2 linked regions of the Sus scrofa genome follow. The protein of the gene in region 1 purifies or fractionates together with the protein of each later gene. This does not show direct contact. Links are inferred from orthologs where the notes say so. Each region holds a gene or a part of one and is shown on either strand. Other genes may lie near its edges.

Region 1 (3,908 bases):
AGGTCTGGGATTCAAATCCAGACAGGCCTGGCTCCCAAGCCCATGGTATGCCACACTGTTTCTCAAAGTCAAGGTGCCAGTTCCCCACCCTCATTACCTGTAGCCGGGAAAAGGATGGCCTGGGAGACATCCTCCTCCTCGGGCTCAGAGCCCCTGCGCATGAAGCCCCCCACAGCATGTCTTCGGGGCAGACGCCTGACTCCAGGATCCCCACCTTCCCCAGTCACTGCCGGGGGTCCCAAGGCATCCAGGAACAGAGCCCTCACCTTGGCCAGGACAAGCTCCCGGTCCAGCTCCGGGCCCTGGCAGCCATGCCCACTCCGTGGGGCCAACAGCAAGAGGAGCAGCTGAGGCCACATAGCTCACCTGGCCCTGCCAACGGTGAACCCACACCCAGCCCTGTGCCCCTTCTGTCAGGGTCTGCCCAGGGCCTCCCCAATCTCCCCTCCCCATCCCACCAGCCGCCCTCTTCTACCTTTCTCACCCCAGTCTTCCCAGCCCTTCCCACGCCCTGCAGTCCGAGTTGCCCCTGCCCATGGCATTGAGACCTCCTATCTCTGACGCAGATGTCTGTGGCCCTGAGCCTTATCTCCCACTCCCGCCAGGAATGTGGGGGTGGGGGGGGCGGGTGAGGCTTTTCACCCCGAGTGACCTGACCCACACACACAACTCCCTGCCCCCCCCCCCAACACACACACAAAGTTACAACCCAGCATCCAGCACAGAGGTGACATCAGGTGGGACAGGAGTCTGGAAGCTGGGGTCTGCCAATTCCTAACAAAGTTATTTGTCAGGAAGACAGGACAAGCCAGGCCCTCGGACCTTCAGGGTCTCCTTTCAACCAAGCAGCTGCTGGGCCAGTCCTGGGGGGAAGGGCTGGGGCATGAGCTAGAACTGGGGGTAGGGTGGGGGGCAGGTGGTCCCCCCTGCTCTATACTTAGCCTGGAGGAGCCTGTCTGGGCTCTTGTCCTCCAGCTGTGTCATCAGAGAATATTTTTGGGATTGGCAGCTGCAGGCGCCTCTGCCACTCAGGCCCAAGCCTGGCGGGCGGTTGGGGACCTGGCGGCTGGAGGTGGGAGGGAGGAGGGGAAGGGGCCCTGGCTGTGGGAGGGGACTGGGAAGACTGGCTCTCCGGAGCAGGAAGCCAGGCCGCAGGCAAAGGAGGCTGCGGGGCCCCTCGCTGGAGAGGCAAACAGGAAGGACTGCCCCCTGAGCCCTGGGTCCCCGGCCCGGGAATCGCCGCCACCGCAGAGCCGCAGCTCCCGGCCGAGGGTAAGGAGACGAGCCGGGAGCGGGCGGCCAGGGGAGAGTTCCGCGGGCCCCGTCACCCGGTCCCAGGCGAGCCCCGCCTCCCGGGCTCCCGCGGCCGCGATGAAGGCGGGCTCGGGGGATCAGGGGAGCCCCCCGTGCTTCCTGCGCTTCCCGCGGCCCGTGCGGGTGCTAAGCGGCGCGGAGGCCGAGCTCAAGTGCGTGGTGCTGGGGGAGCCGCCGCCCACTGTCGTGTGGGAGAAGGGCGGGCAGCCCCTGGCGGCCTCGGAGCGCCTGAGCTTCCCGGCGGACGGCGCCGAGCACGGCCTGCTGCTGAGCGGCGCGCTGCCCACCGACGCGGGGGTTTACGTGTGCCGCGCCCGCAACGCGGCTGGAGAGGCCTATGCAGCGGCTGCCGTCACCGTGCTGGAGCCGCCGGCTCCCGAGCCCGAGCCCCAGCCCGCCGAGCGCCCGCTGCCGCCGCCCGGGGCCGGAGAGGGCGCCCCGGTGTTCCTGACGGGGCCCCGGTCCCAGTGGGTGCTGCGGGGGGCGGAGGTGGTGCTGGAATGCCAGGTGGGGGGCCTCCCCGAGCCCACGCTGTACTGGGAGAAAGACGGGATGGCGTTGGACGAAGTGTGGGACAGCAGCCACTTCGCGCTCGAGCCGGGCCGCACCGAGGGCCGCCCAGGAGCGAGCCTGGCGCTGCGCATCCTGGCGGTGCGGCTGCCGGACTCGGGCGTCTACGTGTGCCACGCCCGCAACGCGCACGGCCACGCGCGGGCCGGCGCGCTGCTGCAGGTGCACCAGCCCCCCGAGAGCCCGCCCGAGGACCCCGACGAGGTCCCCAAGCCCGTGGTGGAGCCACTCAAGTGTGCGCCCAAGACCTTCTGGGTAAACGAGGGCAAGCACGCCAAGTTCCGCTGCTACGTGATGGGCAAGCCTGAGCCCGAGATCGAATGGCACTGGGAGGGCCGCCCGCTGCTCCCCGACCGCCGTCGCCTCATGTACCGCGACCGCGGTGGCGGCTTCGTGCTCAAGGTGCTCTACTGCCAGGCCAAGGACCGCGGCCTCTACGTGTGCGCCGCTCGCAACTCGGCGGGCCAGACGCTCAGTGCTGTGCAGCTGCACGTCAAAGGTACCGCGGCGCCCCCGGGCGGCCAGAGCCCTGGGGAGGGACCTCCAGCGTCCTCCCAGACCCTCCCCACTCCAACCCCACTCACTGCCCAGAAGATGGCGGGGCTAAGGAAGGTCGAATATTAAAATGCCATTTCCCACCCACCTCCCAGCCCCCAGGGATTCCGATCTAATTGGCCTCCAAGTCCTCCGAGAACATCTTAGCAGCCCCCCCCCCCAAGATTGTGAAGCAGAAAGTGGAAAACCACTCTTTAATAAAGGACTTCAAGGAATGATAGATGTACAGACCCAGAGGGGCCCAGAACTCTTGTAGTCCAGTGGTTTTCAACCTCTTTGTTATTTTCACCGATCCCCCAATGGAAATCCTATCTGGGGCCCCACCATCTAAGGCAGATGAAAGGATCGGTTTATTTTATTTTGCTTTTTAGGGCCACACCCGCGGCATATGGAGGTTCCCAGGCTAGGAGTCAAATCAGAGCTGTAGCTGCCAACCTATGCCACAACCACAGCCACATCAGACCCGAGGGGTGTCTTCGACCTATACCACAGCTCAGGGCAAGGCCAGATCCTTAACCCACTGAGCAAGGTCAGGGATCGAACCTGCATCCTCATGGATGCTAGTCAGATTCGTTTCCACTGAGCCAGGAAGTAATCTCTGAAAGGATCATTTTATAGGTGTAGATTTTTCAGTCCAAATGTAGAACATGTATTTACAAAACGAACCTGTGAGAACAAGGGGTCTTTTTTATTGAATATACAGTTTAACGTCCATAACCAGGTCTAGTCTGTGAGCCCTGTGGGGAAGGCCTAGCTGTAGGCCTCACATTGAGAAACTGCTGATTTACAACAAAGGACAACTTGAGGGAGGAAAAAAAAAAAAATGCCCTGCAGTTTTTGACTATTCTTTCATTAGACTGCTCTCCAGTTTTGCAAGACAAGGAAAGTGAAGGAGAGGAAATTTATATTTCAAAATTGAGTCCCCATCAGTGTCTAATTTAATGCTTACATTGCGCATAAATAGAAAATTCAGGAGGGGGAAAAAAAAAACCTCTCCCCACTCACAGTGAAAGTTAAAGCTCTCCATAAGTTAAACCTCTCCAACTCACAACATTATACCTTCACTAGCTATTACCCAAGGTTTCCCTCAGAGGAAAAAAGTTGGCACATCCCCTGGGTCCTGCCTGGCACACAGTCAGGCATGCAGCACCTGTGCTGCCGTGGTGGCCTCTCAGGTACAGTCAGTGTGCACAAACTAACCCCCTGGACAGAAAATAGCCCACGGTGAAAGCAGAGCTTCCAGAGCCACCCAGCAAGACAGTCATGCTCCCCCAGCAGCCCACCTGAATCCACTGGCCATTCCTATTGTCATGCTTTTTCTTTGTTTGGATTTGTTTGTTTGTTTGTTTTGGGGGCCGTACCTGTAGCATATGGAAGTTCCCAGACTAGGGGTTGAATTGGAGCTGCAGCTGCCGGCCTACACCAGAGCCACAGCAACACCAGATCCAAGCCACATCTGCAACCTACAC
Region 2 (3,808 bases), on another chromosome or scaffold:
CATATGGGAGTTCCCAGGCTAGGGGTCCAGTCAGAGCTGCTGGTGCTGGCCTACACCACAGCCATAGCAATGCAGGATCCGAGCTGTGTCTGCGACCTACACCACAACTCATGGCAACGCCGGATCCTTAACCCACTGAGCAAGGCTGAGGATTGAACCCGCATCTTCATTGATATTAGCTGGGTTCATTACTGCTGAGCTACAGTGGGAGCTCCTGAGAGAATGTAGTTTAGCATCAGTCATTTCTCTGGAGCCCTCAGGTAGGAGAGGAAAGATGAAAGGAGCCAGGAGCAGTCCAGAGTCCACTATCTCCGGTTCCCCTGCTTTGTGTTCTCTGGCGTGGGGTCCTTCCCTGTTTTGAGGACTAGAAGTACAGCCAGCCTCGTATAGTCCCAGTGACACCAGAAATCTCTGATCCCTAGCCACCAGATGGGAATTTAGAAAAGCGGAACCTTCAGTAGCTCTGGTTCAGTGAGCTATTTCTCTCCCCAGCCCCAGTAGTAGATTCAGTGCTTCTCGATGTTTCTAGGGGTAGGAGGGGCTTGGGGAGCAGGGGGAGGAAGATGGATTTCCAGTTTCCCAATGTAACCACTCACTCCCTTCTCTATCCTACAGTGTTTGAACTGGTCAACCAAGGGTGAGTGTCCCCATTCCCAGCAGGTAGGCTGCCTGAAGCTTCTGAGCTGCTAAGCTGCATGAGGTGGTGCAAGAGGGCAAAGGCCCGCGCGTCTGGTTTGCACTTCATGCATGTGTTGACTTTTCAGGCCTGTGATGGAAGTGCCCACCCTCAAACCACTCTCTGAAGACCAGGCTCGATTCTACTTCCAGGATCTGATTAAAGGCATCGAGTACTGTAAGCAGGGCCTGCGGGAGGACCCTCACCCAGGGGGGTGGTGAGCATGCCCTGGTGGTGGATGGGAAGTGGAGGGTTTCCTACTTCCCTCCTGGAGCCCAGGGATGTGGGCAGGAAACAGAATTGTATGAGATGCAGAGTCACCGAAGGTTGCAGATAGCTCTCCTGGGGCCACACTATGAGCAGAAACCCTTCTGCCACACAGAATAATGAAGAGAAATAGTGATAGTGACCATCCATCCAGCACTTTCTTATGTGTACCAGGCACTGTTAGGGACTCTCACTTGCATCATTCTTTATTCCCAGCAACCCTGGGATCCTGCTGACCTCCTGGAATCTTCATTCCTTGTATGTAAAGTACGAGGTCAAGGACTGAACCTGCGTCCTCATGGATAGCCACAGTGGGAACTCCTGAGAGGATGTAGTTTATTTTTATTTAGTATAAATAAAATAAAAGAGATACTTTAGATAGCATGAAGTATCTCTCACCAGGGCTGAAGTCAGCCCGGACATCAGTAGTTCTGATTGGCAGGTGTACTTTCTACTTCCGGTTGTTAAACATTTTGACTCATACTCTTTGCCTGTTACATAGGATTGTTGTGAGATTGGAATGAGGTGAATGGGAGAGGCCCCTGACTGCGCATTCAGCAAAGGCAGCTGTGGCTTCTGTTACCAACATCATCATTTCATTGTCACCACTGCCACTACCACCCCAGAAACGCAGTTGGGTCTTCCAGACCATAGGGTCATCCTCTCCCATGGGCTGACGTACAGTGGGGAACAGTTAGCCAAGTCTCCAGTCCTGTTCTGTGCTTCGCACCTCAAATTGACCTGCTCTAGTCACTGTTGGTTTGGTGAACAGGTTGAGTAGTGGCATTAATAAATGAAAATATGTTTGATTATTACAAGTCTTGATACTTCTAGTTGGGAGTCAAGCTGAACAACAACTTTCTCATGCACATGTGACTTAGACTATAGCAGGTGGTTACCAGTTGCTCTGGGCAGTCTCGTGTCTCACCCCTTCCTTCAGACAACAAGACAGCTTCTTTTGAGACACTCCTCTTGTCTTACAGAGTGTTCAGCAGGTTTGGGAGGGGAAGGCTGGGAAGAGCCTGGGGCCTCAGGAGAACAGTGAGGTTCCTGCCTGTGTCTCTGGGCCATGTGGGCTACGTGGAGCTCCTCACATTGTTTTTCTGGCCCCTGTCTCTCCCATCCTGTGTTGATGCTGCCCCCAGTACACTACCAGAAGATCATCCACCGGGACATCAAACCTTCCAACCTGCTGGTGGGAGAAGATGGGCACATCAAGATTGCGGACTTTGGTGTGAGCAACGAGTTCAAGGGCAGTGATGCCCTCCTCTCTAACACCGTGGGCACACCCGCCTTCATGGCGCCCGAGTCACTCTCAGAGACCCGGAAGATCTTCTCTGGGAAGGTAGGTTTGGACCTGCCTGAGATGCAGAGTTCTACCTGTGTTAGGGTCCTTTCCATTTTAAGTGGCAAATACCCAGCTCACTGGCTTTAAACAGTGAATCCATCAGATCATATGGATGAGGAGTGGGGTGCGTTTGGCTTCAGGCTTGGCTAGACACAGGGATTCAAATAGGAATCCATCTTGCCATCTCTCAGCTCTGTTTTCTGGAATTCCTCCTCAGGTGAATGGGTCATCAGCAGCTCCAGGCTACTTTCTATCAGTTTACCAGCCTCAGTAGAAAGAGCATTGTTTGGGAGTTCCCGTCATGGCGCAGTGGTTAACGAATCTGACTAGGAACCATGAGATTGTGGGCCGACTAGGAACCATGAGGTTGTGGGTTCGGTCCCTGCCCTTGCTCAGTGGGTTAACGATCCGGCGTTGCCGTGAGCTGTGGTGTAGGTTGCAGACACGGCTTGGATCCCGTGTTGCTGTGGCTCTGGCGTAGGCCGGTGGCTACAGCTCCGATTAGACCCCTAGCCTGGGAACCTCCATATGCCGAGGGAGCGGCCCAAGCAAAAAAAAAAAAAAAAAAGAACATTTTTCTTTCTGAAGAGCTCCAGCAAAAATCCTGGGGTTGGCTCTGATTGGCCTAGCATGGGCCATATGCTCATCCTTGAGCCAATCACTGTGCCTAGGGGAAGTGTTGCTCTCATTGGCCAGGCCTGGGTCATGTGCCTAACTAGAGGCTGGGGATTGAGGGGCAGGAACAGCTATGCCCCTGTTCTGAGCAGTCAAGAAGAGGTGGTTCCCCAAAGGAGAGCTGGGGGATTGGATGCTGGGCAGTAAAAGCTGTAGACACCTTTTACTGCTCCTCATCCCCTCACACAGAACTCTTTTTTTTCTTGCAGGCATTGGATGTTTGGGCCATGGGTGTGACACTGTACTGCTTTGTGTTTGGCCAGGTAACAGGCTGGGATATCTTGTATCCTGGGGGTTGTGGATGGGCCCCCTTGGATTAATAGTTACCTCTGCAGTTAGATAGTGCTTATTCACTTAAAAGTTATTTCATTTTATTTCCACAGTTAGATCTGAATATGAAAAATTATGCCTTCCCAAATGCACATAGCTCTATGTGATAGTCATATCTGTTGACAAAATGAACAGAGGATTAAAACAGAAGGATTGGCAGAGGCTCTAGTTTATAAATTCAGTAGTTGATGAATTTAGGGCAAGAAAAGCAAATGTGCTACCTCTGCCCACTCCTAAACCAGAAACAGGCATGCCTAATCAATAACTACTCTTTTCTCCTGAGCCCAGTTTTGCTTTGATGTTCTTCTCCCAGTGTTCCTAGAAGCTGTTGTTGGAGGAATAGAATTAGAATGGAAGTTAAAGCCCATCTAGCATTATTGATTTAGGGAGTGCTGTTTTGTCTTCTTTTTGTTGTTGTGCTTTTGCTGTTGTTTTTTTATTACTGATGTTTAGGAGCTTCTGTTTTTAACTCTGAAGTTCAGCTTGATTATGTGAGCAATAAAAGTGTGAAT

Evidence for each region.
Region 2: the proteins of OBSL1 (region 1) and CAMKK2 purify together in Homo sapiens (affinity purification with mass spectrometry; 4 studies listed by BioGRID and IntAct, with this or other methods). This does not show direct contact. The link is inferred for Sus scrofa from reciprocal best matches to the Homo sapiens genes OBSL1 and CAMKK2.

The regions. Positions count from the first base shown.
Region 1 is NC_010457.5:121,578,495-121,582,402, reverse strand, and holds the start of OBSL1 (obscurin-like protein 1), read left to right. Parts: upstream 1-1,088; 5' UTR 1,089-1,371; coding exon 1,372-2,383; intron 2,384-3,908. Other genes in the region: INHA (inhibin alpha chain), read right to left, coding at 267-453. UniProt on the Homo sapiens protein: Core component of the 3M complex, a complex required to regulate microtubule dynamics and genome integrity. It is unclear how the 3M complex regulates microtubules, it could act by controlling the level of a microtubule stabilizer.
Region 2 is NC_010456.5:31,348,851-31,352,658, forward strand, and holds part of CAMKK2 (calcium/calmodulin-dependent protein kinase kinase 2), read left to right. Parts: intron 1-615; coding exon 616-637; intron 638-764; coding exon 765-853; intron 854-2,088; coding exon 2,089-2,288; intron 2,289-3,175; coding exon 3,176-3,229; intron 3,230-3,808. UniProt on the Homo sapiens protein: Calcium/calmodulin-dependent protein kinase belonging to a proposed calcium-triggered signaling cascade involved in a number of cellular processes. Isoform 1, isoform 2 and isoform 3 phosphorylate CAMK1 and CAMK4. Isoform 3 phosphorylates CAMK1D.